Linked DNA regions of Saccharomyces cerevisiae S288C. The gene in region 1 interacts genetically with each later gene. Each region holds a gene or a part of one and is shown in the gene's direction. Other genes may lie near its edges.

Region 1 (8,036 bases):
AATACTATGCCAAGAAGAGAGCTTTCACCAAGAAAGTTGCCTCTGCTAATGCTACTGCTGCTGAATCTGATGTTGCTAAACAATTAGCCGCTTTGGGTTACTAAGAAATTAAAAATAGTTTTTCTTTAATACTTTACATTTTGTAATATAATCACAAATATTTTTTAGAAATAATAAAAACCAAAGAAACCATTCCTCCCCGTTACAGTTTAGATTACCTCCCCTTTTTCTTTCGTACTTTTTATATTTTTATCGTTTGATATTTACAAGAAATTAAATCTATCATATAGCCTTTATTTACTAAAGCCTATGCTTAAGGTTCTCGTATACACAAAAGGTAATGCAAGTGGATGGAATGGCCCGTACTAAGTTTGCAGATAGGCCCTTATAAAGTCCAACAAAACCATCATTAGCAATGATTAATTTTATCAAAGGAAAGAGCCTAAATTTTTGCTCATTGGCCCTGAAACTTTGTAAGTTTGATTTCAATAATTGAAAAGGGTAAACCAAAGTGACGGAGACCATTTTTCCCAACGATGTGATTTCAATGGTTTCAAGATTTGTTAAATGGATGTCAAGCCCATTTTCCCTCTTCCGTCGCAATTTTCTTTGCTTTAAGGTATCGTAAACTGCAAAATATAAGGCACCTTGCGAAACACCAAACAGTGCGGGTACAAGGCCCTTCCATAGGCCCTGGAAGCCATCAGTTCGTAACAGTTGTTGGACACCGTTGTACATAGAAGTGTACGCTCCTTGGGCGCCTTTACTTGTAGACATTATCCTGGTCTTTATAACCCAGATAGGGTTTGTTAGGATAGCTGTCATCAACCCACTGGAAGCACCGGCAGACAAATAAATAAGCGAATTCATTTTGTGGTCGTTCCCAACACCTTTAAGCTGTGTTTCCCCTGGCTTTGCCACTGACTTGTATATCAATTCTTTCGTGACACCATATAAACCGAAATAAACTCCCCATGCAATGGCATTTCCAAACAAATTTATGCTTAATCCGCGATACAGTTCGTTCGTAACACTACGTCCACTATTCGCCGACGAACGTATAATCTCTTTGATTACCATAAATGGGCCGTAATGGGCCTTTTGTGCGCTTGTAGCGGATAATTGCAAACGAACCTTCAGTAAATCTAATGGATGCACTACCAATGTGGTGACGGATCCCGCGGACAGACCTGAGATAACCTCCTTCTGCAGTGGCGTCCACTGGTGATCGACCATATTATCAAGAGCTTCCTGCTGCGTGCTGGTTTTGCAAAGTACAAAGACAAGATATTGTACATATTCCTATGAAAGCTACTGCTCTTCACGTACTCCTTCACTTTTTTTTTTTCAGTTTAAGTTTTCCAATTTTTTTGTAAGATGAACCTTTCAGCAAATCTGTTAAGAGTCAATTTCCTCGGTAAGAAATATAAAATATAAATGAATATAGATTATAAAACAGACTGTACTTAAACAGCCCCCGTCAATACGATAACGCAGTAAAATAAATGCTCATCATGATAAATCCAACAAAAAAATAAACGGAAGGAAACTGAAAAGAAAAAAAAAGGAAACGAAGAAAAACATAATTTATCGTTTGATAGCAGTAAGTCGCAGATCAAGTCGCGCCTGTATCCTTACAAACATGACGACATTGAGCTGTACAAAGCTATGACCAACCGTTCCATAATTAACTCTTTTCAACACATTGAAAATAAGACTTCCCCCATCGAAGCATCAAGTTCTTGCATGTCACAAGATACTTGATCGTAACCTCCTGAAGGTCCCTTTCAGAAACACATGGAGTGTAGTTTACTAGGAAGGAAGAAGAGACATCGAAAACTTTTTCACTTTATATAGGTGAGAAAAATGGTGCAAGAGAGCATGACCGTGTATGGTGACATATAAATGGTTGTTGGCAGCGAATTTAACAACACTGCAGATGTAGATGTCGTAGCTATCCTTCTCACGTTGTTGAATGCTGACTATTTTGTTATTAAGCAACGCCTTGTTAGTGCTTGTTTTACAAAGCGTATTAAATGGTATTTTATTTATGCTATCGCTTTATTATCTTTATTTTCATCACGTAACACGGTGTGTGCGCCATATTAATGTTGCAACAGTCGTGAGGTGATTAACAAACAGTATCAGACTAAACTCACCCTTTGGTGATATGCAATTTCTTGAGGCGCAAAAGGTTGATCCTGAAAGCTTTTGTGATAGACTACCTTCAAGCAAAGCGAACGTAAACGGCAAAGATGGATACCAGCAACCACAACCAAGACCACGACTCCCACGTGGCGGCACAGAGGGAGAACGACAATAATTATATGCCACCTTCCCCCTCCATGAGCGAGAGTTCTATGATTTTTGAAAGAAATGTAGAGGACCCATCATACCTTTATAAAACGGTGTCAAACAACGCTGCAAACTCTCTCTCTAGGCAGAGCAGCAGGACCAGTTTGTTCAATCATAATAATTCTAGTAATAGGAACTTCCATAACTTAAGCCAGAGATCGTCTGCTGTGAATCTACATTTGCAACCTTCTAGGACTAATGAGTCAATAGCATCGTACCAGACATACAATCCGGATTTTGTTGTGCAGACTCCACTGGATCACCGTCGTACCTTAGAGAATTTCGTCCCTCCTGCATTAGACGCTGGCTGTTCTATTGTAACTGACGACACGACTGGCCTTGATGACGTTGATATGGTTTATTCGAGAAGGCCATCTACCATCGGCCTGGATAGAGCCCTAGGTAGGACAAGAAGTCTTTCGTCACAATCTTTTGATAACGAAACGTCGCCTGCGCATCCAAGATCTCCCAACGACCATGGTTCAAGACTACTAAGGTTTTATTCCTACGCTGACATGTTGTCCGATGACAACAATAACAACGTTAGTAATGCGACATCAACATCATCAACTGCGAACCCCTTGAGAAGACCCCCAATGCAAGGTCACTACTCGTTCTCGTCGTCCCTTTTGAATTCTCCTTCTCATTTGCCTTCCCCCCCATCAGCTTCGGCATCACCACCTCAGCATATGAACTTCACCAACCCTTTCATCATATCTAGACGTTACTCTAACACAACGATCAACAATGCCAATGGGGGAACCAGCGCTGGAAGCACTACGGGGGCCGCACTATCAAGATCGCCATCGAACCAACAGTACTTACTTAAACAACAAAGGTCACCTTCAGGGAGCGCCCGTTCAAGAAGAAACAGCAATAGGCCCGGCAGTGCTGCCAACATTATGATCGGGAAACCTAAATCCAAATTCCATATGGAATCCAGTGGCAGTGAAGGGTTTTCTTCCGAAGAGGAGGACAACACTATGATTGAAAGAGATAAACTCAATCTAAAGCAAAAATTGCAGTCACAACTGGCACAACCACCATCAATTGCCAACATGGTTAACGATAATCACAATAATACTAATAAACACAAGAATACTATTAATAATAACATCAAAAATAGCCCTGCGTTCACAAACTCGAATCCAAGTTCAAAATCAAATTCAAACTCTACAATAACCTCTATGAATCCAGACACAACCAAATAAAGAAAACTGAAGGGCCGCGATTGTTCATTTCTTCAACCTTCTTCTCCTACTCTAAAAATTCATTTAAGTCTCTTTTTTCCATATATATAGATATATAACGGTATTTTATGTATGCACGTATACCCCAATAATGCCACTAATTTACTCCGTTTTCCAATCCATAATCAGCAAAGACCATATGTGATTTCAAATATAAAAAATGAGAAACATGTGAATATGTATATATGTTATGCGGGAACCAACCCTTTACAATTAGCTATCTAACTAGTCCTTTTTCGAGCTCCAGAATTTACCATCACCCTTATCATTCCATTCTTTGAATTTGTTCTTGGCTTCATCGTACTTTTTCAACGCTTCATCGTACTTCTTTTGGGCCTCATCTTTTAAAGCCTGCTTGTCATTGTCGACCTTGGAAGTCCATCCAGACCACCAGTGGCTGCCGTACTGTTTCAAGTCCTCCTTCGCCTTAGATAACGAGTCCATGGCATCGGACACGTTCTTATCCAGTTGTTTCTTTGAATTCTCATAATTCCATCTTAAATCGTCCATTTCGTCCTTGGAAAGTTGAGCGGCTGTTTCACCCCATCCTTCTAAACCTCTGGCTACCCGTTCAGCAATCTGTTGCTCGCTTTGCTCCCCTTTGTTGTAACCAAACCAGCCCTTTTCCTTGATCTTCTTCAGCTCGTCAAGACGTTTTTGCGCCTCGCTTGGCTCTGAAGAAGCATTTCTCTTGGCTTCCTCCAACTCTTCTCTACCAAACTCCTGTGCCGTATCACCCCAGCCTTGGACACTTCTTGCAGCGGCTTCTTCAGTATTAGCGTCACCCGTGTTATTCTTCAACAGGCGTTTCAAAGGATTACTGTTCCTTTCCTGTTGGTCTAGCTTGTCCGAAAGCTCATTAAAGTCTCTGGCTCTCCCGTACCTTTCGTACTCAATGGATGCTCTGTCCAGAGCGGCCTTCTTCTCTCTCATCACCGTGGACAAGAGCTCCTTCTCATTACGATCCACTGCCTCTTCGAAACGCTTCTTAGCAGTATCAAATTCCCCGATGGCTATGGCTTTCCTTCTTTCAGCCTCACTAAACCCCCAATTGAAGATGCTTTGCGAGGAAGAATCCTTGGCTTTTTGGCCTAGCTGCTTGCGTGTCTGAGCATCCTCTTCCGGTGATATCACACGCTTAGTTACCTTTGGAGCCTCTTCCCTAGCCTTTTGAGATACGCCCAGAAGCGCGTCTTTTAACGACAAGGCATCTTCCTTTATGCCTTGCTTTATGTTATGTAGCTTTCCCAACTGTGGGGGTGCTGAACTGCCGTACTCCTGGCCGTTGTAGTAAGCGGAGACGTTGCCCTCTCTTCTCTGACCCTTGGCCTTCTGTTCTCTGACCATGATGCTAGCTGTGATGGCAGCTGCCAATGCTGCACTGCCGACAATTATTCTTGATGACATCCTTATCTGCTTGTTTTATTAAATGATTAACGTTACTGGCCAATCAAAAATACCCTTTATTTCAAGAAAGGGCAAAGAAGCAGGACTTTAGCAAGAACCGTTTCCCCTTATATATACTCCTCTTCAAGGAACTCGACAAAATAAGGGTCAACAAACTCCTCCCTTAACCCACACGGGCCACCGGCGAGCTTGTGCTCCTGCGAATAGCAGTACACTATTGGTTGTTGCAAATCCTGACGATTCACTTTCAAACACCATGCAGGCAGGAGAGTCAAACAAGACTGTTTGCTGTGTTATTGTCACCGCTGATGGTTGTGATGACCACCGCTTACCTATGACGAGGGGCAACGTCTTCACATTTCATGTTTACCACCAATATGCCAATTATTTTAAGAAATCTGCATAACAGAAGGACGCCAGCTGGCCATAGCATTTATAGATTCCTGCATTAATGTAACCGTCCGCACACCGTATGTATCAGCTTGTCAATTATTATATGAAATGTATATATATTTACGAACTTCAATTTTGTCAACATATTTCTGGAACAAGACTGGCTGGAACGGCTCAGCACACACAGGACAGAATATCAAAATTCTCGAGTACTTTGAGAACCCCCTTCAAGTGAGGTACCACCCTTGGTTGTAGTCTTGTATATTAATCCTTCTTTTCTTTAGTATAAATCGATCCTTTCTATTATACAATTCGCCGGTAATTTTTCAGTGAAAAACGAGTTTTGCAGTCAAACCATTCCTGGATGTGCTATACAAAAAAAAGGTCCGAAGACGTGTAAAGGATATATAACGCCAGGTTGATCATCACTAACCATCATGTCTGATAATTTGTTATCTTTAGAGAATCCGGTGGTGCCTAGTCACTATGAGTTGCGTCTAGAAATTGACCCTAAGCAGTCGTCGCCCAATTTCAAAGGATCCGCCATAATCCATTTGAAATTCAATCCGAACTCCACCACCTTAGCTTCTATCGAAGACAGTTTTACCCAGTTCAAGTTACATTCCAAGGATTTGATTGTGTTGTCTGCACATGCCACCATAGGGTCTACTAAGTTTGATCTAAAAATTTCTCAGGACACTGGAAAGCATTTGTCGATTTTCAACTCTGAATCTCCTATTCAATTGTCCAACGATTGCCCTCTGATTTTGTCCGTGCAATACGTGGGTAAAATTCGTGACATAAAAACACATCATGATAAGACTTTTGGTATTTTCAAAACCAATTTTATGGATCGTAAAACCGGTACTGCCAATAATCACGTCGTTGCTACTCACTGCCAACCGTTTTCCGCTAGCAATATTTTCCCATGTATTGACGAGCCTTCAAACAAGTCCACTTTTCAATTGAACATTGCAACGGATGCACAATATAAAGCCGTTTCCAATACTCCTGTAGAGATGGTCGAAGCTTTGGATAGTTCTCAAAAACATTTGGTGAAATTTGCCAAGACACCTTTGATGACTACTTCCGTATTTGGTTTTTCTATTGGTGATTTAGAATTTTTGAAAACGGAAATCAAGTTGGAAGGTGATAGGACTATTCCCGTTTCAATTTATGCACCTTGGGATATTGCTAATGCAGCTTTCACTTTAGATACAGTCCAGAAATATCTACCTTTGTTGGAATCCTATTTTAAATGTCCATACCCTCTGCCAAAGTTAGATTTCGTCCTACTACCATATTTAAGTGACATGGCAATGGAGAACTTTGGTATGATCACCATCCAACTAAACCACCTGCTCATACCACCAAATGCCTTGGCCAATGAAACCGTCAGAGAGCAAGCACAGCAACTCATTGTCCACGAACTCGTTCATCAATGGATGGGCAACTACATATCTTTTGACTCGTGGGAATCTCTTTGGTTTAATGAGTCTTTCGCTACTTGGTTAGCTTGCCACATACTAGAACAGAATGGTGACCTATCCCATTATTGGACCTCGGAACCTTATTTACTACAGCAAGTGGAGCCGACCATGTGCAGAGATGCAGCTGACGTTAATGGAAGAAGCATATTTCAGATTGCGCAACGGAACACTGGCATAGATTCTCAAACCTCCGATATTTTTGATCCTGAGGCATACACAAAGGGTATTATCATGCTGAGGTCCCTGCAATTGGCTACAGGCGAATCTCATCTACAAAAGGGCCTGGAAAGTGTATTTGAAGATACTAAAACATTTCATGCGAGAAGCGTCAAACCAATGGATATATGGAATCATATCGGAAAATTTTTGAAGTCTCAAAATATTACAAACTTTGTTTCATCTTGGACAAGAACGCCAGGCTTACCTGTCGTTAAGGTCGAAGTAGAAGAGAAAGACGGGAAAACGCAAACAAAATTGACTCAACACAGATTTATCAATCAATTATCTACTGAAGAAAAGGATCAGTTAGAAGATGTCCCATATCAGGTACCCTTATTCGGGGTTCTGCCAGATGGTAAAATGGATACTAAAAATGTACTATTGACGGATAGGACCTTAAAGTTCGATTATCCTATCTTAGTAATTAACCATTTAGCCCAAGGTTATTACCGCGTTTCATATGAGTCCGAAGAGTGCTATGCATTGATTAATGATAAAATAACTGAGGAGACGTTATCCGAGATTGACCTTCGGAAGATTTTCTTAGACTTGTCGCAGTTTATTGGAGATGAGGGTTTCCAGAATTCTATTCATTTGCACGGTCTCTTTAAGATACTAAACCATATCGCTTCTCCTTCCACAAAGATTGCATCAAAATATTGGGATCCTCTTTCCAAGGGGTTGGAAGTTCTGCAAACGATCGATCGTGCCAGTTTAACGAGCTCTAAATTACAATCTTTCTTAAAGAAAAAAATTGTCATTCCCCTTTTCAATAAGATTGATTGGCCCCACGGTGAATTTGATAAAAGCACAAACCCTCACGAGTTGAAAGTCATGTCTCAAGTCTTGTTTTTAAATAAAAACTCCGCAAAATGTGCTGAATTGTGTCAAATTTATTTTAAACATCTATTACAGGGCCCAC
Region 2 (7,442 bases), on another chromosome or scaffold:
TACGAAACCCGTTCACAAAAAACCGATCACAACTACATACAGAGAAGAAAGTTTTGATGAAGATGAGGACAGTGAGGACCAATCAGACGAGGATGCTGGATTCTTTGAAGAAGATAGTGAGGATGAAACTCATCATGGTCAGAAAGTACCAAAAAAGAAGAGCAAACACGCTCCAGTAGAACAATCATCCAAGAAAAGGGTACCACGAGTCCGAAATATCCCTGGGCTGGAAATACCGAGGAATAAAAGGTCTAACCTCTATCAGGACATCAGATTTGATAAGTCCACCGGTAAAGCCCTTGATAGTTCTATCATAAGAAAACGTTACCAGTTCTTGGACGAATATAGAGAAAAAGAAATTGATGAACTGCAGAAGCTGTTACAAGAAAGAAAATTTCTATCAAAAATAGACCAGGGAGAACGTGAAGAAATGGAACAAAGACTGAAAAGTATGAAATCGAGATTGCAATCAATGAAAAACAAAGATCTCGAGCGTGAAATTCTCAAGGAATACGAAAATGATATGAATAAAAACAATAATACGAGATACCATTTGAAAAAGTCTGAGAAACGTAAAGTGGTGCAAAAGTGGAAATTTGATCACATGAAGGCCAAGCAACGTGAAAAGGTCATGGAAAGGAAAAGGAAGAAGAGATTGGGTAAAGAGTTTAAACAATTTGAATTTCATAATCGTAGGTAGAGTATTTAAGCAAAAGAATGCACATTAAAGTAATATATAGAGAAAGATAAAAAAATAAACGCACACATAAACTAATGGAAGTAAGAGGTTATCCGCGAACCACAAGGAGAAAATCGAATGAATCGGAGAGGTGACAACAAAAAATTTGAAATACACAAAAGGTTGTCTATATACAGGATATATCGATTATACTTGTTTCTTTTTGGCTTATTTTTTGGGCTTAACGTCAGCACCACCTTTAGCTAACCACTCAGTAATAGAACCAGGATAGATACCAGTGTTTTCGTACCCATAAGATCGAGCCAACTCTTCGGCAGTTTTGGCTCTTACTCCTTTCGCACAAAGAAAAATCAATTCTTTATCGTGAGGTGGTTTAGCAAATTGGAAAACTTTGTGAAACTCCTTTTCGGGCAATCCAAGAGCGCCAGGGGCACTATTCACCGGAATATTTATTGTAGTTGGCATCTTGTAATCCTTTACTTCCTTGGGTTCCCTTACATCTACCAATAGTTTTTTATCATTGGGGTGTTCGACTAGGTTCCTGACCTGGTCAAAAGTATAGATCTTTGGAGCCTTCGTTGTAAATGTTCTCAGGACCAATGTAGGCGATCTTGCAGAAACTGTCCTCGAGAGAATACCTGTACTATGCTTGAACATCGTTGGTCTTTTTCTTCTGTCTCGCTTCCATTTGTTGAGAGTTATCGCTATCTTATTCCATTCAGATTAAGTTTTGTATTTTTTTTTTTATACTTCCTAATTTCTTTGCGCCGCCGCTATCACAGCCAATGCAATAGGCAAATATTATGAACGGTGTGACATAAATGGCATAATACGTTACTAGCTTACGAAAATACACAGGGTACATACCTAGAGTATACAAGGCTATAAGTCAAGTTTATCACCCCCATGAGAAACCCAATCATTCATAGAGCCAGGATATAGTGAGGTGTTTGAATATCCATGTGAGGAGGCGACTTTTTGAGCTTCTCCCCCGCGTTTGCCAGAAGCACAATAAAATATTAGCTCCTTGGCACTGTCAGGTTTTGGGATGCCAATCTGTTTCTCAAATTCTAAAGGATCTAAGGCAAATGCGTCAGGGTGCGATCTATATGGCACATTGATGGAAGCAGGAATATGAACAATCGAGTACTCAGATGGTTCTCTAACATCTACCAAAACCACATTAGGATCATGCTTTCCAACGATTCTTTTCATGTCTTCAAAACTGTAAGATTGAATATTTGAAACATTCTTACTTTGACTCTCGGTTCCATTCCAAGCATTCATCACGGCCTTCCACATTTTAATATCGTTTCTTAGTCACAAACCCTGAAAATAAACGAGAAAGAATTCTTTGATTGATTAAGCCTCCACTCTCTTTTATACACCTCAAAAATTCTCCCCTTACTTCCTTCCCCGCGGGTAATAATATTCTCCAAAAAAAATACAAAAGCAATCAGATGTAACTTATATAGGTTCCAAGATAAATAACAAATTATTTGTCATTGCAAGTAGGAAAAGGACATACCGTAGGTGATATCTGGATTTGGGCCTTATGGAAGCCAATCTTAGTAGTAATTCGTCCATATGTCTACCAAAGGGGATAACAAAAAAGTACAACTACAAATTTTTCACACAGTGTCCCGTTAATTTCATATACTCAATATGCTGCGTTTAATCAAGAAAAATTCTGATATTTTGCGACAGAAGGTGTCCCTGGAAAGCGCTTAGTATGCTGTATGATCTTTGAAGTACAATGCACAGGGAAATAAATCACCATATCTGACGATCATCTTGCTAGTTTCTAAGTTCGGAACATCTTGTCTATGCGCCAATAAAACTAGTTTTACATCGTACAGAAACACTGTCCACTTAGAACTGGACACTTGTTTGCCCAGTATAGTTCTGATACTATTATTATGTATAATTCCCTCAATATTAAGCACTTTATGCAAACGTGTTGGCCCATTGAGGCATTGATATACGGCAAGTAATAGCACCTTTTGCTTCTTACCTTTATCAATTTGGAAATAATGTTCGAATTCTATTTTATTTTGCAGAATCCTTAGTATATTTTCTTCGTCGAACTTTTGTACACTATTTAGCTGAAACTTCATAAGCTTTCCGCTCAAATTAACCTTTGCATTTGTTGATGTCTGGCTATTCATTGGGGATGGGACCGGCTGGTGAGTGGACCTCTTACATTGTAATGATTTGTTCCTTTTCTGTAAAAGTTGTAGAAACGCGTCGTAGTACTTCTGCAAGTCGGCAAGAATGGGTTCAATCTGCTGAACGTCCAAACTAAAATCCTCCAAAAGATGTCGCATTTGATTTTCAATCATTGACAATCTCTTTTTATAGCCCAATGTAATACGATCGGCTTCGACAATTTCATCTTCTGAGTACTCAACTACCGAATCGTGGTCCAAATACATCTTGCCAAATTTTGTTTGTTGCATAGTTTCACTGATATACAATTCACCTGAATTTACCACCGACAGAACATATCCATTTCTCTGCTATGGAGTATCAATGTAGTCTTGTTACATATTACGACACAGTTTTCTTTCCTTTAAAATAAACGCGTCGTTCTCATCTCATGTGAAAAACTATATCAATAATATAAAAACATAAAACCCCTATAATTTATGAACATCTACTGCATTTAGATAAACCCTTACGAACTATATGTTTTAAAATAAAATACACGCATGCGAAATTTCTATTACTACCTAAACCGCATTTCTAATACAAAATGAGAAAAACCCAACAGTGAATAACCATATAGTGTCTAACGTAATCTTAAGTCACTGACGACAAATTCGCCATCACCAAGATGTTGGGTGTTTCCGACACGTCTCACAATAAACTGCTTGGAGTCCTTGACGTAATCAACTATAGTGACAGAGGTGTTGAAAACAATGATCTTATGAGCTTGATGATTTTCATACTTTAACCATTGTAAAATCATTCTGATAGCACCTCCATGACTAACTAGGGCTAGATTCTTGACACCTTCATTAGATGCTTCAGCAACTTCTTCTTCGACACATCCAGTTAACCTAGCAACAAAATCGTCACTTTTTTCCCCAAAATTTCTAAAGGAGCCTTCACCATGTTTATCAGCATACTTTTCAGCCTCAGTAATCTGCATACCTTCAATAACACCCATATAACGCTCCCTTAACCCCGAAGTATAGGAAGTAGGCACATTTTCTTGTTTTGAATGTTTCAAAACTAAAGCCGTAGTTTGCCTACACCTTTTTAAATCACTACTGACAACCTTATCAAAATGAATACCTCTTGAACGCAAGTAATGCCCCAATTTAGTGGCTTGTTCTTCTCCCGTAGGATTGATCGAGGTATCTTTGTGACCTTGCAAAATTTTTTTTACATTGTGTTCTGTTTGTCCATGCCTAATAATGAATAATCTGATGATGTTGTTATCGTCATTATCGCAATAATATGGTACTTCCTTAGTCATTCTTGGGTATAAATATATTTTTGGGTGCTTGTATAGCTTCGAGCTTCGTTGCCGCTTTGATCTTACAGTATGAGACTAATTCGAACCAGAATGAATAAAGCAATACTTTATGTTCTACAATTCAAAAAAGAATTAAGTAATATTGTGACGACCTGATTTTCCCATTGTATTAATATCGCTGGAAAAAAAATTACTGAAAAAAGAGGAAATCCCGCTAGAGGAAAAAAAGAAAAGGTTATATGATCGACCTGAAGAAATCTGCAGTACAAGATAACGCCTTCGAGTAAACATCACTGAGAAGAAAGGCATATTCAGCAGACATAATGCAGAATGAACCAATGTTTCAGGTCCAGGTGGACGAATCTGAAGACAGTGAATGGAACGATATTTTAAGAGCGAAGGGTGTAATACCAGAACGTGCACCTTCGCCCACTGCAAAGTTAGAAGAAGCATTAGAAGAAGCAATTGCCAAGCAGCATGAAAATAGACTAGAAGATAAAGACTTGTCGGATTTGGAAGAACTAGAAGACGATGAAGATGAAGATTTCTTGGAAGCTTACAAGATCAAAAGATTAAATGAAATCCGCAAATTACAGGAACGTTCCAAATTTGGAGAAGTTTTCCACATTAACAAACCTGAATACAACAAAGAGGTTACTTTGGCCAGTCAGGGAAAGAAATATGAAGGTGCACAAACCAATGACAATGGTGAAGAGGATGACGGTGGTGTCTACGTATTCGTTCATCTCTCGCTTCAAAGTAAACTACAAAGCAGAATTCTGTCTCATCTTTTCCAATCTGCTGCATGCAAATTCAGAGAAATAAAATTTGTAGAAATACCTGCCAATAGAGCAATTGAAAACTATCCCGAATCCAATTGCCCGACATTAATTGTATATTACCGGGGTGAGGTAATCAAAAACATGATAACGCTACTAGAACTGGGTGGTAATAATTCCAAGATGGAAGACTTTGAAGATTTTATGGTAAAAGTTGGCGCTGTTGCAGAAGGAGACAACAGACTGATAATGAACCGAGACGATGAAGAATCCAGGGAAGAGAGAAAATTGCATTACGGTGAAAAAAAATCGATCAGGTCAGGTATTAGAGGAAAATTTAATGTCGGCATAGGTGGAAATGATGATGGCAACATTAATGATGATGATGATGGATTTTTTGACTAAATAGTGCGAATATTCCTTATTTACAGGCTAAGTGGTGTCACTATCCCCATTATTTAATATATACAGATATAAAGAACAGCAAACTTTGTCATGTACTTCTCTGAATGTTTACGCGAGGATTACGGTATGTATGATTGAACATCGCTGCAGCATGGATTTTAGTAAGAGCCGTTGTCATGGCAACCAATTAAAGCTCTTTAATTACCGTCAAGCATACTTAGGATACAGATACAATAAAACCCCTTATTAAGTTCGAGCAGGCACATCTTGACAGAATAAACCTTTTAAATCGTCATATGGAGCATGGTCTGGTATCAAGTTTTACTACTTTTTCGCTTTGTTGTCAGAGGATAGAAATTTACTTTTTCTAGTTGTGCGTATAAAGAACACTATGGATGCAGTAATACAGAAAGTAATCTGTTCTACTTCGGTGCATTTTCAAACTGAATTCTACCACAAACCCCAGAATTATTATTATGAGTGAAAAGAAGAAAGTTCTAATGCTACATGGTTTTGTCCAATCCGATAAGATATTTTCTGCGAAGACTGGAGGATTACGAAAGAATTTGAAGAAGTTAGGTTACGATTTATACTATCCTTGCGCCCCACATTCAATTGATAAAAAAGCGTTATTCCAATCAGAGTCAGAAAAGGGTAGAGATGCTGCGAAGGAATTCAACACCTCAGCGACTAGTGATGAAGTATACGGGTGGTTCTTTAGAAATCCCGAATCTTTCAATTCCTTTCAAATAGATCAAAAGGTGTTTAACTATTTACGTAACTACGTGCTAGAAAATGGACCATTTGATGGTGTCATTGGATTCAGCCAAGGTGCAGGTCTTGGGGGCTACTTAGTCACTGACTTTAACAGAATATTAAATCTTACTGATGAACAACAGCCCGCTTTAAAATTTTTTATTTCATTTAGTGGATTCAAATTAGAAGATCAATCCTACCAGAAAGAATATCATAGGATTATCCAGGTGCCCTCTCTACATGTAAGGGGGGAGTTAGATGAAGTTGTAGCAGAATCTAGAATCATGGCATTGTACGAGTCATGGCCCGATAACAAAAGGACATTGTTGGTTCATCCTGGAGCCCATTTTGTCCCAAACTCGAAACCATTCGTATCCCAAGTTTGCAATTGGATCCAAGGAATTACTAGCAAAGAGGGTCAAGAGCATAATGCCCAACCTGAAGTAGATCGGAAACAATTTGACAAACCTCAATTGGAAGATGATTTGTTAGATATGATCGATTCCTTGGGTAAATTGTAATTCGATAATTGATATTTATATGAGCTACATACAATTTTTATAAAACTATTGAAAATATCGACGAGAAAAAGGAATAGTGTGACTTTTCTGCCGCCTTCTTTGACGTTTGATTTTCTATACCTGATTTATATCTGTTGCTAAAGAAAGAATTTTCGCGGCACACGAATGATATATATTTAACGTAAGGATTTCTTTTATCTGGCGGAAGTATCTCAATATATTAATATTAAACGCTGTTGAACACTATCCTAGGAACACTGACAGCTAGAAGTGATCATAAGACATTGCATATAAAATAACTATTAATTTTAATTAAAAGAATTTAATTAGAACAACAGGAAGGTGTTATAAGAAAGTGCGAATGAGTACAAATACGGAAATCATAAAAAATAGTGATTTGCAAAGTTTAATCAATGATAAGAGGAGGTTAATAAATGAAATAAAAGACTTTAATAAATCCATTAAACCCTTGGAGTTTGAATCGTATCAGGATTATTTCCTGATAAAAACGTTCAAAAAAGGAATATCTGCAAGTGGCCATGTGGATATTGACAGTTTAAGAAATAAAGAATATGGAATATACTACAAGAAAATCAAGAGGAACTCTACACAAGAAGTCGGCGAACCAATCCCTCGCAACACATCCTCCTCCTCCTCTTCTACTAGATCAAACTCATCAGCTGATATCAGCGATACAGAATATTCAGGTGAGAACACTCCTACAACTACTGGTGCTGCCAGTCGAAGAAGACGTACGAGATCTCGAGCTATTCAAAGAGAAAATAGTCTACCAGCAT
Region 3 (7,744 bases), on another chromosome or scaffold:
TGTAAAGCTCCCTAAGTTGGACATACGTCGGTCCTTACAGGCTTAGCAATACACCTATAAGGCACTAGAAACGTATAAAATTTGAGCACTTTAGTTTCTCATCCCTTTTGATACGAAACGCGGGCAAGGCTACGGCATACAGGAATTTAACATTTTGTTGGCTATGGAGCTAAGAAGTAGACGGAGCGCAGAGGCCTATCTTGTCACGCCTGAGGAACCTGCCAAGAATAAGAGTGAACGGAGCATAGAATCCAATGAGAGGGTCGGCACGAGGGAAGCAAAGAGCGAGAACACAAGTGTATTTAGTCCCGCTTACTCTGATACCGCTACTACAGATTCATCGAAGAAAGTTGATGACAATGAATACTACAATTTTACTAGTCACTTCATGCCATCTTTGAAAAACACCAGAGAACTAGAAAACACAATTCTCAATCTCATACAGAGGATAAAGGAAGGGGATGATGAAACGTTAGTTAGTGAGAAAGATCTCATATTAAGTGTGCTTAACAGGTCTTTAGCATCCACATCTCACTGGAAGTTACAGGCCCAGCTATCGGAGTTAAGGGCCACCTCAGAGGGAAGGTATGCAGTTGAGACAAACTTGTTGAAAAAAGAGGTAGAATTTTTAAAAAACAAGACCCCAAAAACCAACGAAAGTGCAAGTTCCGCAGAGTTGAGACCACTTCTTGAACGACCTTTAAAGCGTAAACTGTCATTGCCAGGACTAGCGCAAAGACCATTATCCACTGGCGCTAGGCTAGAAGGAGGATATGGAGGTGTATCGCCGAACTCATGGAAAACCAAAGTTCCAAAACTTCCTCTTCCTGCTTCCCGGCCGTCTTTGAATCTTTCTCCCCAAAAAGTCCCAACGGGTACTGATAAAGTTGAGGAAGATACCAAAATTGACACATTGGAATTAGTAGAGAACAATAAACCGCATCCAAGGATGAGAAGAAGGAGTGACAATCCAGCAACAAACGAATATGTGAGAGTTTTTCATTTGGAGAAAAAAGAACCTAAATCACGAAAAAAATAGTATGCTAGAAAAAAATATTATTGAACGTCAATAATTTTTCTTTCTCATGGGACCAAACACATCATTTATTCTCTAATAATATTCTATTCTCTTTATTTCTGGTTTACTCTTTTAAAATTCTCCAAAGAGAAATATCTCCTTCAATTCTTCAGTTACGAATTTATGTTTACTTTTAACCTCTATCATACACCTTTAATCTAATGCCTCCAACTGTCTGTAATTTTAGTACAACTTAAAAGGGAAATTTTCCGAAAGTGTGAAAAAATTGGATTTTTTTTTCTCCTATTGAACTCAATGGAAGCTATCAGTTTGGAGAGGGACAATTATTTTCCTTCTTGTTTTTTGCCAAGAGAACAATATTGTAGTATTTAAGTTCTAATTTAATGTTATATATACTTATCTAATAGTTTTTTTTTTTCAATTAGATTGTTTTCCTTACGACGTTAATCCCTTGTCATCCTCACTTACGAACTTCGATGAATATGACATACGTAATCGGGAATGTTTTGTAAACTAATTGACGTAGTTCCTTTTTCGTAAACTGGACTGGACGGCTTGATCAAAATTCCCGAAAAATAAAAATTTCCCTCACGAGAATATGGAAATTACTATCGCCCAGCATTATTTTATCTCCTCAGAGAGTAAAAGAAGTTTCCTCTTTCCTAAACTTAAAAAGCAGTCCTAAATATATAGTTGACTTCGACGCATATCATTCATCGGCTGCTGATAGCAAATAAAACAACATAGATACAATGGATGCAACTACCCCACTATTAACTGTTGCGAACAGTCATCCCGCCCGCAATCCAAAGCACACTGCATGGAGAGCAGCTGTGTATGATTTACAGTATATTTTGAAAGCGTCACCCCTGAATTTCCTATTGGTATTTGTTCCTTTAGGTCTGATTTGGGGACACTTCCAACTATCTCATACACTGACATTTCTTTTTAATTTCTTGGCAATTATACCGTTGGCAGCTATCTTGGCTAATGCCACGGAAGAGTTGGCTGATAAGGCTGGTAACACCATTGGGGGACTGCTAAATGCTACTTTTGGTAACGCTGTGGAACTAATTGTTTCTATCATTGCCCTGAAAAAAGGTCAAGTGAGAATTGTGCAGGCCTCGATGCTAGGTAGTCTTCTTTCTAATTTGCTGTTAGTGCTTGGATTATGCTTCATATTCGGTGGATACAATAGAGTCCAACAGACATTCAACCAAACCGCCGCTCAAACAATGTCCTCATTACTTGCCATTGCGTGTGCATCCCTACTGATTCCCGCTGCCTTTAGAGCCACCCTACCTCATGGCAAGGAAGACCACTTCATCGATGGAAAAATATTGGAGTTATCCAGAGGCACCTCTATTGTTATTCTCATCGTTTACGTTTTGTTCTTATATTTCCAGCTAGGGAGCCATCACGCCTTGTTTGAGCAACAAGAAGAAGAGACCGATGAAGTTATGAGCACCATTTCCAGGAATCCACATCACTCTTTGAGTGTCAAGTCATCATTGGTGATACTTCTAGGTACAACTGTGATCATCTCTTTTTGTGCGGATTTTCTAGTCGGTACGATAGACAACGTTGTTGAATCTACCGGGCTATCTAAAACATTTATAGGTTTGATTGTCATTCCTATTGTGGGTAATGCCGCAGAGCATGTCACTTCAGTCTTGGTGGCCATGAAGGATAAGATGGATCTGGCGCTAGGTGTTGCCATCGGTTCCTCTTTACAAGTTGCCTTATTTGTTACACCATTCATGGTTCTTGTGGGCTGGATGATCGATGTTCCAATGACGCTAAATTTCTCCACTTTTGAAACCGCTACTCTTTTTATTGCTGTTTTCTTATCCAATTACTTAATTCTCGATGGTGAGTCAAACTGGTTGGAGGGTGTCATGTCTCTAGCTATGTATATTTTGATTGCAATGGCATTTTTCTATTATCCAGACGAAAAAACCCTTGACTCTATTGGAAATAGTTTATGAGTAAGAACAGTAGCGCAGAAATTCACCATTCTCTTTTTTTTTATATTTTATCTTCTTCGTAATTCTATCGATGGACCAATACAAAGATGATTATGACTAGCAAGTCATTATTATGATCGTTATATTATACATATTATGTTTACGCAACTAATTTTTATATCGAATTTTATCTGAAAAAAAGTTTTCAAAACCAACAAAATATTTTGTACACTCTTCGAAACTCAAATTCTGCACCATTTCCATTCTGATAAAAGGTTTAATATTTCGAAGCTTCTCAACTACAGCTCGTGTTCTTCTTGCAGCACATCAGCTGCTTTGCTGCACTGTTCAGGGTAACGTTATTCATTACAACGAGAATATTTAGGAATTTTGCTCAAATTCATGGAGCTTCCTACATCATTGCACAACAGAATTTCGTTTTGTAGTATAGTTTATTAGAAACAAATGTGAATAGATCATGAGACGCGAAGCCCTATTTTAGCGGATTTTAGCCTTACATTTCTGAGTGAGAATGCCAGCTGAAACACATTCTTGTTACATCTGTCACGGCATTCCAGCTGTAAAAAACCAGCAGATATCGCATAAAAAAATGGCCAGCTATAGAATAAAATTAGCCCAGCTATATTTTTATAGCGTCTTTTGATGACGCGAAAAGTAGACTTCGCGTAACACGAAAAATGCTGGTGCAGGTGGATTTTTTTGGCAGATACTACGGTCAATTCTCCGCTCGAAGATTTTTATAGGCCTGGCTAGTTACCTATTTAGTGCAAATTGGGAAGAGATCTATTGTTCCCGCAGACACGCTAAGTGGTAGCTGTAACTTCGGAGACGTGTGAGACCTTCCTCAAACATGTTACAGGTTGATCGATTTACACATCTAATGCAAGTTTAAGTGCTTCTTAAGTGTTTTTTTCTTTAGTCTTATAAGTTCTCCTTTCTTTCACTTTATAATTCTCCTTTATAAAAGTAAGACCCGGTGCTAAACAACCTGATCCGACAAGAGCAATTTCAATACGGCAGCAACTTTTTACTACAAAAGATGTCAAACTACGAAGCCTTGCTGAAATTCAATAGGAAGGCTGTATCTAAGGAAATGGTGCAATATCTAGCATCGACCACAGCTTCCATTATCAAAATTAAGAAGACGAATAGTATGATAGATATTGCATTGCCAGCACCACCGTTGACTAAATTCATCAACAGACTGATCAAGCATTCTAACGTTCAAACTCCGACTCTGATGGCTACCTCTGTATATTTGGCCAAATTAAGATCAATAATACCGAGTAACGTTTATGGTATAGAGACCACCAGGCATAGAATATTCTTAGGTTGCCTAATATTAGCTGCAAAAACGTTAAATGATTCCTCCCCTCTTAACAAACACTGGGCCGAATATACGGACGGCCTTCTCATCCTAAGGGAGGTTAATACTATTGAAAGGGAACTATTAGAATATTTTGATTGGGACGTCACCATTTCCACAGATGATTTAATTACATGTCTCTCGCCATTCTTGAAGCCTATCAAAGAGGAGCAGTTGTACAAATCGCAAAGAGACTGTCGCACGTTGAAAAATTTTTCTGCTCAAGAAAAAGACATAGTAAACAAAACATCCATTTCCCATTCGCGCTCATCGTCCAATATGTCTATCCCATCTTTAGCTTCCACTTCGACCCTCTCCACGTTGGAATCTAGAAGATCGAATTTATCCAATTATAGTAACAGAATACGAACTTTGCCCGAACTACACGAATCCAATAACATTAGCGACAAGTTTTCTCCGCGAACATACAACATAGACTCCAAACACGATAACAAGGAAAATAGGCCAATACCGACAATTAAGCCTTTTAATTTTAGTAAAGCGCGCCCTGTGATCTTGAAAACTGGGTTAAACAAACAGATAATAAAAGAAGATACAAAAGTAAAGAAATCGAATTGGTCAAATTACTTCAAATCGTGATTTTAAATGTCGAAATTATGCCTGGCCTGCGTTTCTTCATGGCACTTTCGGAAAAGGCGGAAGAACACAGGTAAATGTTCTTACGACCGAGGTCCTACAGCCTCCCTTTTTTCTTATTTTACATATTAATATACATAAATATACCATAATGCATTCTTTTTCTAATGATTTAGCTCTCCTTTTTTTGACAAATTTGAAAATAAATATAAAAAGGGCCATAAAATATTGAGTTAAAATTGACGATTTTTTTTATAGAAATGACTTGAATTTACGATTTAAAATAAAAATATACCTGGCATATAACTAACTATACAAATCATCATCTTCCTCCGCATTAGAACCAAATGCAGCACCTGCTCCACTTGGAGCACTATTATTACTGTTAGCATTGTCCGTAGCCGTAGTACCTAATGGAGCGTCATTAAAGTTGAAATTACTGAATTGACCTCTAGATGCTTTCATTTGCTGTGAGTATGCTTCATAACGACGCAATTCAGCATCTGAAACAGAACGTTTAGCGGTCTTCATAGCTTCTGCGAAATGCTCCTTTGTAATATATGGAACAGGATCTACTTCTGGTTCTTGTTCAGCCTTTGCTCCCTCATCTGTCATTTCCACGTCTTCACCTTCTACTTTCACTTCCTTTTCAGCTTCGTGTTGTCTGTGAGCTTCGATAGAATCCTTGATAGCGTATTTAGCAGCCCTCTGCACAATATAGAGTAAATCAGCACCAGAGAAACCTTGAGTGGCCTTGGCAATCGCAGTTAACTCTAGCCCTGGTTCTAGTGGTGTTTTCCTTAATTGAGCATTTAGAATAGATAATCTAGCGTTTTCATCTGGCAATGGAACATAAATTAATTGATCCAATCTGCCAGGTCTTAAAATAGCAGGATCAATTTGATCTGGCCTATTGGTGGCACCAATCACGAACACATTTTTCTTAGCATTCATACCATCCATTTCTGTTAATAGTTGGTTGACGACTCTATCCGAAGCACCACCAGCATCACCCAAGGAACCACCTCTTGCCTTGGCAATGGAGTCTAATTCATCTAGAAAAACGACGGTTGGTGCAGCTGCTCTTGCCTTATCAAAAATATCACGGATGTTAGATTCCGATTCACCATACCACATACTCAATAATTCTGGACCTTTGACTGAGATAAAGTTGGCAGAAACCTCAGTAGCTACAGCTTTTGCTAACAAAGTTTTACCTGTACCTGGTGGACCGTAGAACAACACACCCTTTGATGGTGATAACCCAAACTTTGTGTATTGGTCTGGATGTAAGACTGGGTATTCTACAGTTTCCTTCAATTCCTCCTTGATTTCATCTAGGCCACCAACGTCATCCCAAGTAACATTGACACTTTCAACAACGGTTTCACGCAATGCAGATGGGTTTGAATTGCCCAATGCGAATCTGAAGTTGTCCATGGTGACTCCTAAAGAATCGAGCACCTCTGCATCAATTTCATCTTCATCTAAATCTATCAAGTCCATTTTTTCACGGATCTGTTGCATGGCAGCTTCAGAACACAAAGAGGCAATATCAGCACCCACGTAACCGTGTGTTTCAGCAGCCAATGCTTCCAAATCAACATCATCAGCCAACTTCATGTTCTTGGTGTGAATACGTAGAACTTCAAGTCTACCTGTAGCATCTGGGATACCAATGTCGACTTCACGATCGAATCTACCAAATCTTCTTAAAGCGGGATCAATCGAATTTGGTCTATTGGTAGCAGCAATGACAACAACATTAGATCTTGCCTTCATACCATCCATTAAAGTTAACAATTGAGAGACAACTCTTCTCTCAACTTCACCATTAGTCTTGTCTCTCTTTGGAGCTATAGAATCGATTTCATCGATAAAAATGATGGCTGGAGCGTTCTTTTCGGCTTCTTCAAAGGCCTTTCTTAAGTTAGACTCTGATTCACCAGCCATTTTTGACATGACTTCTGGACCATTAATTAAGAAAAAAAAGGCACCGGTCTCATTAGCAACAGCTCTTGCCATCAAGGTTTTACCAGTACCAGGGGGACCATACATCAAAACACCTCTTGGTGGCTTGATACCGATAGCCTTGAACAACTGAGGATGTCTCAATGGTAGTTCAACCATTTCCCTAATTTGAGCCATTTGCTTACGACAACCACCAATATCATCGTAACCCACCTCATTCATATTATTTTCTTCATCTTCCCTGTTGATTGGCTCACCTTCCCAGTGAATAATAGTATCCTGAGCAACGACGGCATATTCTTCAGGTTCGACATCCACAACCTTGAATTCGACTTGTCTCATACCGCCTCTGACAACAAAATGGTCGCCTTTCCTCACTGGTCTGTAGGCTTCCACAAAATAAGGCTTCAAAAAAACATCGAAAAGATTACCAGTTATACCTTCGATCGTATCAGCAATTGGTAACACAGAAATTCTAGTAGCGTATTTGATATCGGGGCAAGGATGAATTGTAACTAAATCACCCAGCCTAATACGTAAATTGTTACGAACTACACGGTTTATCCTGCATGCTCCGTCTTCTAATTCGTCATCGATCAACACAATTAAGACAGTATCTTTTCTCTTCTTGCCCTTAACGAGAACGGTGTCACCACGGAACAATTCCAATTTGTCCATGGTGTTAGAATTAATAGCAATGACAGAATTGTCATCATTGATAGCATCGTCCACCAAAAGCATGTTGTCCTTCTTCTTTCTTCTTAAAATGGCGGTGGCGGTTTT
Region 4 (8,348 bases), on another chromosome or scaffold:
CCCCTTTCCCGGCGAGCCGGCAGTCGGGCCGAGGTTCGGATAAATTTTGTATTGTGTTTTGATTCTGTCATGAGTATTACTTATGTTCTCTTTAGGTAACCCCAGGTTAATCAATCACAGTTTCATACCGGCTAGTATTCAAATTATGACTTTTCTTCTGCAGTGTCAGCCTTACGACGATTATCTATGAGCTTTGAATATAGTTTGCCGTGATTCGTATCTTTAATTGGATAATAAAATGCGAAGGATCGATGACCCTTATTATTATTTTTCTACACTGGCTACCGATTTAACTCATCTTCTTGAAAGTATATAAGTAACAGTAAAATATACCGTACTTCTGCTAATGTTATTTGTCCCTTATTTTTCTTTTCTTGTCTTATGCTATAGTACCTAAGAATAACGACTATTGTTTTGAACTAAACAAAGTAGTAAAAGCACATAAAAGAATTAAGAAAATGGTTAAGGTCAGTTTGGATAACGTCAAATTACTGGTGGATGTTGATAAGGAGCCTTTCTTTAAACCATCTAGTACTACAGTGGGAGATATTCTTACCAAGGATGCTCTAGAGTTCATTGTTCTTTTACACAGAACTTTCAACAACAAGAGAAAACAATTATTGGAAAACAGACAAGTTGTTCAGAAGAAATTAGACTCGGGCTCCTATCATCTGGATTTCCTGCCTGAAACTGCAAATATTAGAAATGATCCCACTTGGCAAGGTCCAATTTTGGCACCGGGGTTAATTAATAGGTCAACGGAAATCACAGGGCCTCCATTGAGAAATATGCTGATCAACGCTTTGAATGCTCCTGTGAACACCTATATGACTGATTTTGAAGATTCAGCTTCACCTACTTGGAACAACATGGTTTACGGTCAAGTTAATCTCTACGACGCGATCAGAAATCAAATCGATTTTGACACACCAAGAAAATCGTACAAATTGAATGGAAATGTGGCCAACTTGCCCACTATTATCGTGAGACCCCGTGGTTGGCACATGGTGGAAAAGCACCTTTATGTAGATGATGAACCAATCAGCGCTTCCATCTTTGATTTTGGTTTATATTTCTACCATAATGCCAAAGAATTAATCAAATTGGGCAAAGGTCCTTACTTCTATTTGCCAAAGATGGAGCACCACTTGGAAGCTAAACTATGGAACGACGTCTTCTGTGTAGCTCAAGATTACATTGGGATCCCAAGGGGTACAATCAGAGCTACTGTGTTGATTGAAACTTTGCCTGCTGCTTTCCAAATGGAAGAGATCATCTATCAATTAAGACAACATTCTAGTGGGTTGAATTGCGGACGTTGGGACTATATTTTCTCTACAATCAAGAGATTAAGAAATGATCCTAATCACATTTTGCCCAATAGAAATCAAGTGACTATGACTTCCCCATTCATGGATGCATACGTGAAAAGATTAATCAATACCTGTCATCGGAGGGGTGTTCATGCCATGGGTGGTATGGCTGCGCAAATCCCTATCAAAGACGACCCGGCAGCCAATGAAAAGGCCATGACTAAAGTCCGTAATGATAAGATTAGAGAGCTGACAAATGGACATGATGGGTCATGGGTTGCACACCCAGCACTGGCCCCTATTTGTAATGAAGTTTTCATTAATATGGGAACACCAAACCAAATCTATTTCATTCCTGAAAACGTTGTAACGGCTGCTAATCTGCTGGAAACCAAAATTCCAAATGGTGAGATTACTACCGAGGGAATTGTACAAAACTTGGATATCGGGTTGCAGTACATGGAAGCTTGGCTCAGAGGCTCTGGATGTGTGCCCATCAACAACTTGATGGAAGACGCCGCCACTGCTGAAGTGTCTCGTTGTCAATTGTATCAATGGGTGAAACACGGTGTTACTCTAAAGGACACGGGAGAAAAGGTCACCCCAGAATTAACCGAAAAGATTCTAAAAGAACAAGTGGAAAGACTGTCTAAGGCAAGTCCATTGGGTGACAAGAACAAATTCGCGCTGGCCGCTAAGTATTTCTTGCCAGAAATCAGAGGCGAGAAATTCAGTGAATTTTTGACTACATTGTTGTACGACGAAATTGTGTCCACTAAGGCGACGCCCACTGATTTGAGCAAATTGTGATCTCCCTTGCCCCAGTGTACACATATATAAAAATATATTCATGCCTATATGATTATGTATCGGAATCCAAAAACTTATCTTTATATTGCTTCGTTTCGTAGTTAGCAATGAATCATCTTATCATGATTCCTTTTTTTGTTTTGGCCAGATTAATGTATCACGGTCGACGGCGAAGGCATCAACCATTGTTGTGGAATTTCAAACACAATACTTGATGACTCCAAACGTGGGCATATATTTTGATTTGAAAAGAAGTCGAGAAAGTATAGCAACGCATTGTATACGTTTGAAGCTTTCAGCAAAGGATATACCGTGGAAATGTACACGCCTATCCCTGCTAATACCCCTGCTCCCACTGCACCAACTTCATCGATGACGTCCAACTCTTCATCCGCATCAAATGCCAACACCACTAGCAGTAGTGGCATAAACCCAAGGAACAGAGCCAGTGGTACTCCATCCAATGAGCGGGCTCGTCCGGCGTCGGGTATCAGTTCGTTTTTGAATACCTTCGGAATTAGGCAAAATAGCCAGACAGCTTCTTCTTCTGCGGCTCCTGATCAGCGTCTATTCGGCACAACCCCATCTAACTCACATATGAGTGTGGCCATGGAAAGTATCGATACCGCTCCGCAACAGCAGGAACCACGTCTGCATCATCCTATACAAATGCCTCTGTCGGCCCAGTTCCACGTTCATCGCAACTATCAACTCCCCATCTCCATATCTCTCACTGCCCCTACAACCACAGACCACCAGCAATCATCTGCGCATAATTTCGAAGGCAACAATGTTGGTAACGTTCAAGAGTCTTTGAATCAGCGGCAGCCTAACGGTACTAACAATACCACAACCTCGATAATTTCCATGGCGCCAGCGGCTACAACGAGAAATATAGTCGGTGGTGCAGATGGATCTACTATTGTTAACAACAGTCAGGAAATGTATAAGAATTTACGTCACTTGATATATGCTGCAAACCAGCCAAATGGGACCGAAATTTTACATTTGGATTTACCTGCAACAAGTGCAGAGGAGTCAAACAATATGTTCAATGTAGATGAGGTCACTTTGAAGCAAAGGAAAGATAAGCATGGTCTTTTTAGTATAAGACTAACCCCATTTATTGATAGTTCGTCCACGACAAATCAAGGTTTATTCTTTGAACCGATTATAAGAAAGGCTGGCCCTGGATCCCAATTGGTTATTGGCCGCTATACTGAGCGTGTTCGCGATGCAATTTCTAAAATACCTGAACAATATCATCCAGTTGTATTTAAATCCAAAGTTGTTTCAAGGACACATGGTTGTTTTAAAGTTGACTCTCAAGGTAACTGGTATATAAAGGATGTGAAATCATCTAGTGGAACTTTCTTAAATCACCAAAGGCTCTCACCCGCTTCCTCTTTATCGAAAGATACCCCTCTTCGTGATGGTGATATTTTACAGTTAGGAATGGATTTTAGAGGTGGCACGGAAGAAATCTATCGTTGTGTAAGGATGAGGATTGAGCTAAATAGATCATGGAAACTAAAGGCAAATTCGTTCAACAAAGAAGCTTTACAGCGTTTGCAGAATTTACAAAAATTAACTACAGGTATTGAAGAAGAAGATTGTTCGATTTGCCTATGTAAGATCAAACCGTGTCAAGCAATTTTCATATCACCATGCGCACATAGCTGGCATTTCCGTTGTGTAAGAAGATTGGTCATGCTCTCATATCCGCAATTTGTTTGCCCCAACTGTAGATCAAGTTGTGATTTGGAGGCCTCCTTTGAAAGTAGTGACGAGGAAGATGAAAGTGATGTGGAAAGTGAAGGTGATCAACTGGTGGATCAACTTAGCGTCTTAATGGAAACTTCAAAGGATGTTGATAGCCATCCTTAAGGTCAAAGAAAATACACAGTTTGAAAAATAAAGAAAAACCACCGAACTCCACATCTCGTACCTTAATATTATTTTAATTATTCTCTTAGTATTTATATATTTGCGCCGTTTACATATTTGACTTATTGTTTTCAGGAATACAATACCTCCATCGTTGGCAGTCAATTTTGCTTTCACATATAAAACTAAAAAAAAAGTAAAGAACTCGGTTAATCCTCGGTTAGTTTGCCAAGCTCACCTATTAATCTTAATAGGACTTCTTGAGTTTGTTGTTTGCCCAGACCATACTTATATATTTCATGCCCACCTTCAACTATTTTCCATTCTTGAGTCTTGTGAGAAATTTTGGTCAAATCTCTTTGCCAATCGCCCCATAATGCCGACTTCTTCACCATTTCCTTAGAGCTAACGATGCTTGTCTTCACATTTTGCAAAGATTCTGCATTGTTTGTCACATCTCTGTAACTTAGAATTGAACTCGTCACGCTTTCCAAAAACTTGGAACGCAAGAAACGTCCTTGATATTTCATATCACGCCCATATATACGTTCTTTAGACCCATGATGAGCTAGTAACCATGAAGTCTGTAATCTCCATCCTAAACTCGACCAAATGCCTTTCCACCATAATCTAAATTCGTTATGCCTTTCTATCTCCGAAGGTAACCAAGTCTTATCATGGTTGCGGCCATCCCCATCATTACCATTGCCATCGTCGCCATCGTCGCCATCACCACGGCCTGGAGGTAGTAATCTTTGAATGTAGTTTTTTAACAATAGTTCTTCATGCCATGATTCAACAAGCATCATGCTATCCACAATATCGACATTCTTGGCGGTAAATACTCTTGTAAATAGCCCGCCAAGGTCGTATCCTACTGTAGTGAAGGGACCTTTAATTTTTGCATCTTTGATCAATGCGTACCTTAAAGATTCCGCAACCATCGCAATAGAGATTGGGGCGGGAGGAGAATCGCTCAACCCGTACCCTGGTCTATCGTATAGACAATATCTTTGAATTTTGTCTAAATGATATAGTTCCTCAATCCAGGTGGCAGAAAGGTAACCAGTATCATAACCTCCGTGTTCAAACAAGATGATAGGTTGCTTCTTATTTTCAGACAAATCTGTGTTGTTTTCTTGATCAAATACGTCACCATAACAAGTTATATGCAACTGATAGGTTTTAGCGGCATCTACGTAATGGAACGCCTCGTACGAGGGCGACTGAACGGTTATTGGTAATTTGTGAGTCAATCTGTAGGTATCCAATGTCGTTAAAAGTGTATTCAGGGTGAATAAAGCGAAGAATATTAAAATTAAAAACTTAATAGTATTCCTGAACCCAATGGATACCCATTCTGTCAATGTATGTTTGTTTTGGACCAGCTGCGAGCGGTGGGTGGGGGTTGGCGACCCAGAGCCATATTGGCTTCTGTCCCTGTTTTCGGTACTATTTGTATGGTTTTCGTTGAAAGTACTAATATTAGCATCATCAATTCTGCGTTCCTCCAATGGCTCATTTATTGAGTTGTTGTAAAACAAGAGATACCAATCTAATATTGCCCCAATAAAAAATGAAAACGAAGTCCACAAATATGTAAACGTGCCCACAAAGCCGATTCTTTGCCTAGTGTATTTAATTAGATAGGTCAATGCTAGATTGAACAACGTCAAAACACAGAGAGTTACATTTAAGCTGTAATCTAAAGCTGAGTACAGTCCCAGCTTATTAAACCAGAGATTGAAAGAATTAGCTATGATCGAGATGAATATTAAAGTCAAGTCGTTAAAACTTGCGTACCTGTTACTGAATCCGAAAAGAATATTGATATTGAAAAAGAAATCTGAAATCAAAGTGGTGACTAGCCAGATGGTGTTAATTAGAATTAGGATATTTAATATCCATTTGGAGTTATGAATAAAGATTCTATAACCTTTGCGAATTTGAAAGAGACTATCTTTGATGAACCCATCGGATTCAATGTCACGACCTTCATTAACTGCTGGGCCATTCGCGGATCCTGCACCAAGGGTCCGGTGGTTGTTGTTCAGCAACGGTTGCGCTTCTGGGTGTTCACTATCTATATCTGTTCTTTCCATTCCCGTCCTTGCCGGATCATTATCTAAACCATTAGCCTTCATGATCTGTTCGCTCTGATGCCTACAGTTCTTTCTTCAATGGCTTTCCTTTCCTTTCCTCCTTATAGAATATAGCAAGGCATCTAACTTTTAGTTTTTCTCTCATCCCTTTAAACTGCACGATGGTTAAAATTAGGGGTCCGAATAGCCTTGCAAGGAATAGATTAAAGAACACTATATATGCATAGCCACTTCAAAACGTGCTGAGAACATGCCATCAAGGTTGACCAATACGATTGCTGATTCGACAACTTCTACATTACATAGGCATATACATATCAGAAAAACGTGCTTTATAGGTACATTTTTTAATTCCTTAAACATAACTTGCTTCTATTTTGGGATAGTTCCTTTTCTTTGAACTACGTTTTTTGGGCAGAAATATAAAAAAAAACCGAAAAAAACGGCACGCAAGAAAGCTTATTCAAAAAGACGCAACAATATCATAGATTATTCTAAGTACCAACAACGTGATAAACTTTGTTCTAATAAAGCTACATCTTATCTCTTCTGTACAGCTTTATTGGGGTGAATCATATTTACTTCAATCCGGGTAATGGTAAACGTAACAAGTGATAGAAATATTCACCTGCGATGAGCTGGAAAAAAAAAAAATTTCAAAAGAAAACCATACTAATGCTGAGGTATAAAGTAACGAATTGGGGAAAGGCCATCAATCCAAAGTCGGAAAAATTGAACTTCACATAAAGTACCAGGCAAATGACTGAAGACATCGAACAAAAAAAGACCGCTACAGAGGTAACACCACAAGAACCAAAGCACATCCAAGAAGAAGAAGAACAGGATGTTGATATGACTGGCGATGAAGAACAGGAAGAGGAACCAGACAGGGAAAAAATTAAGCTTCTCACACAGGCAACATCTGAAGATGGAACTAGTGCCTCTTTTCAAATTGTAGAGGAGGATCACACGCTTGGAAATGCCCTTCGTTACGTTATAATGAAAAATCCAGACGTAGAATTTTGTGGTTACTCGATACCTCATCCTTCTGAAAACCTATTAAATATCAGAATTCAAACCTACGGTGAAACGACCGCGGTGGATGCTCTTCAAAAAGGGCTAAAGGACTTGATGGATTTATGTGACGTTGTAGAATCTAAGTTTACTGAAAAAATCAAGAGCATGTAGATGTTACGGATCGACTCAAAGACCCTCTGTCACTCTGAAATTTCTAATAATTATGCACACCACGCTAGTATAGATACAGCTTGATTTGTGTATCCCGTTTATAGTCGTGCTATTTAAAATCTATGTATAATATAACCAGATAAAAATACACCTTCGTACAAGGTGCTAATAATGTTGAGAATTCGAAATTCCTTTTTAAAGGCGTATTCCGTATTGAATGATTGAAAAATTTATTTCTTTTTTTATTTCTTTTTTTTTTTTTTTTTTTTTTTTTTACGCCGATGCTCATCGCAGAAAATTTTTCCTTCAGTTTATTTGTCTTATAAAAAGACTGTCCTACGCTCAAATAACTTATACTTTTCTGTATCTCATTCAAATTATTTTCTTGTCAACAACCTGTAACAGAATTAAGCACTATTAAGGCAAATTTAGAGCAAATATGACTTACGGTGGTAGAGATCAGCAATATAACAAGACTAACTACAAGTCTAGAGGTGGCGACTTCCGCGGTGGAAGAAACTCTGATAGAAACTCTTACAATGACAGACCACAAGGCGGTAACTACCGTGGTGGTTTCGGTGGTCGTTCCAATTACAACCAACCCCAGGAATTGATCAAACCAAACTGGGATGAAGAATTACCCAAATTGCCAACTTTCGAAAAGAATTTCTATGTTGAACACGAAAGTGTTCGCGACAGATCGGACAGTGAGATTGCTCAGTTCAGAAAGGAAAATGAAATGACTATTTCCGGACACGATATTCCAAAGCCAATCACCACTTTCGATGAAGCTGGTTTCCCAGACTACGTTTTGAATGAAGTGAAGGCTGAAGGATTTGACAAACCAACTGGCATTCAATGTCAGGGTTGGCCAATGGCTTTATCTGGTAGGGACATGGTTGGTATTGCTGCCACTGGTTCCGGTAAGACTTTGTCTTATTGTTTACCAGGTATTGTTCATATCAACGCTCAACCATTATTGGCTCCAGGCGATGGACCAATTGTTTTGGTTTTGGCTCCAACTAGAGAATTGGCTGTTCAAATTCAA

The links.
Region 2: of VHS2 (region 1) and PLP2, extra expression of one rescues a mutant of the other (dosage rescue), as found in Saccharomyces cerevisiae (one study listed by BioGRID).
Region 3: of VHS2 (region 1) and PCL2, extra expression of one rescues a mutant of the other (dosage rescue), as found in Saccharomyces cerevisiae (one study listed by BioGRID).
Region 4: of VHS2 (region 1) and DMA2, extra expression of one rescues a mutant of the other (dosage rescue), as found in Saccharomyces cerevisiae (one study listed by BioGRID).

Annotation. Positions count from the first base shown.
Region 1 is NC_001141.2:90,595-98,630, reverse strand, and holds VHS2 (Vhs2p), read left to right. Parts: upstream 1-2,255; coding exon 2,256-3,566; downstream 3,567-8,036. Other genes in the region: 60S ribosomal protein uL13 RPL16A, read left to right, coding at 1-104; flavin adenine dinucleotide transporter FLX1, read right to left, coding at 301-1,236; YIL134C-A (uncharacterized protein), read left to right, coding at 1,906-2,109; OM45 (Om45p), read right to left, coding at 3,831-5,012; TMA108 (Tma108p), read left to right, coding at 5,843-8,036. UniProt on the Saccharomyces cerevisiae protein: Can suppress the synthetic lethality of the hal3 sit4 double mutation when overexpressed, suggesting that it is involved in the G1-S transition.
Region 2 is NC_001147.6:844,195-851,636, reverse strand, and holds PLP2 (Plp2p), read left to right. Parts: upstream 1-4,507; coding exon 4,508-5,368; downstream 5,369-7,442. Other genes in the region: rRNA-processing protein RRP36, read left to right, coding at 1-700; thiosulfate sulfurtransferase RDL2, read right to left, coding at 908-1,357; thiosulfate sulfurtransferase RDL1, read right to left, coding at 1,583-2,002; HUA2 (Hua2p), read right to left, coding at 2,428-3,159; YOR283W (phosphoglycerate mutase), read right to left, coding at 3,492-4,184; FSH3 (putative serine hydrolase), read left to right, coding at 5,845-6,645; RFM1 (Rfm1p), read left to right, coding at 7,007-7,442. UniProt on the Saccharomyces cerevisiae protein: Essential for cell growth. Inhibits early G-protein signaling events following pheromone stimulation. Inhibits the folding activity of the chaperonin-containing T-complex (CCT) CCT2 which leads to inhibition of cytoskeletal actin folding.
Region 3 is NC_001136.10:230,861-238,604, forward strand, and holds PCL2 (cyclin PCL2), read left to right. Parts: upstream 1-4,066; coding exon 4,067-4,993; downstream 4,994-7,744. Other genes in the region: YDL129W (uncharacterized protein), read left to right, coding at 164-1,039; VCX1 (Vcx1p), read left to right, coding at 1,792-3,027; AAA family ATPase CDC48, read right to left, coding at 5,297-7,744. UniProt on the Saccharomyces cerevisiae protein: G1/S-specific cyclin partner of the cyclin-dependent kinase (CDK) PHO85. Essential for the control of the cell cycle at the G1/S (start) transition. Together with cyclin PCL1, positively controls degradation of sphingoid long chain base kinase LCB4.
Region 4 is NC_001146.8:405,900-414,247, forward strand, and holds DMA2 (ubiquitin-conjugating protein DMA2), read left to right. Parts: upstream 1-2,441; coding exon 2,442-4,010; downstream 4,011-8,348. Other genes in the region: malate synthase MLS1, read left to right, coding at 459-2,123; YNL115C (uncharacterized protein), read right to left, coding at 4,220-6,154; DNA-directed RNA polymerase core subunit RPC19, read left to right, coding at 6,872-7,300; DEAD-box ATP-dependent RNA helicase DBP2, read left to right, coding at 7,740-8,348. UniProt on the Saccharomyces cerevisiae protein: E3 ubiquitin-protein ligase which functions in cell cycle retarding in conjunction with the UBC4 and UBC13/MMS2 complex, 2 E2 ubiquitin conjugating enzymes. Involved in nutritional control of the cell cycle.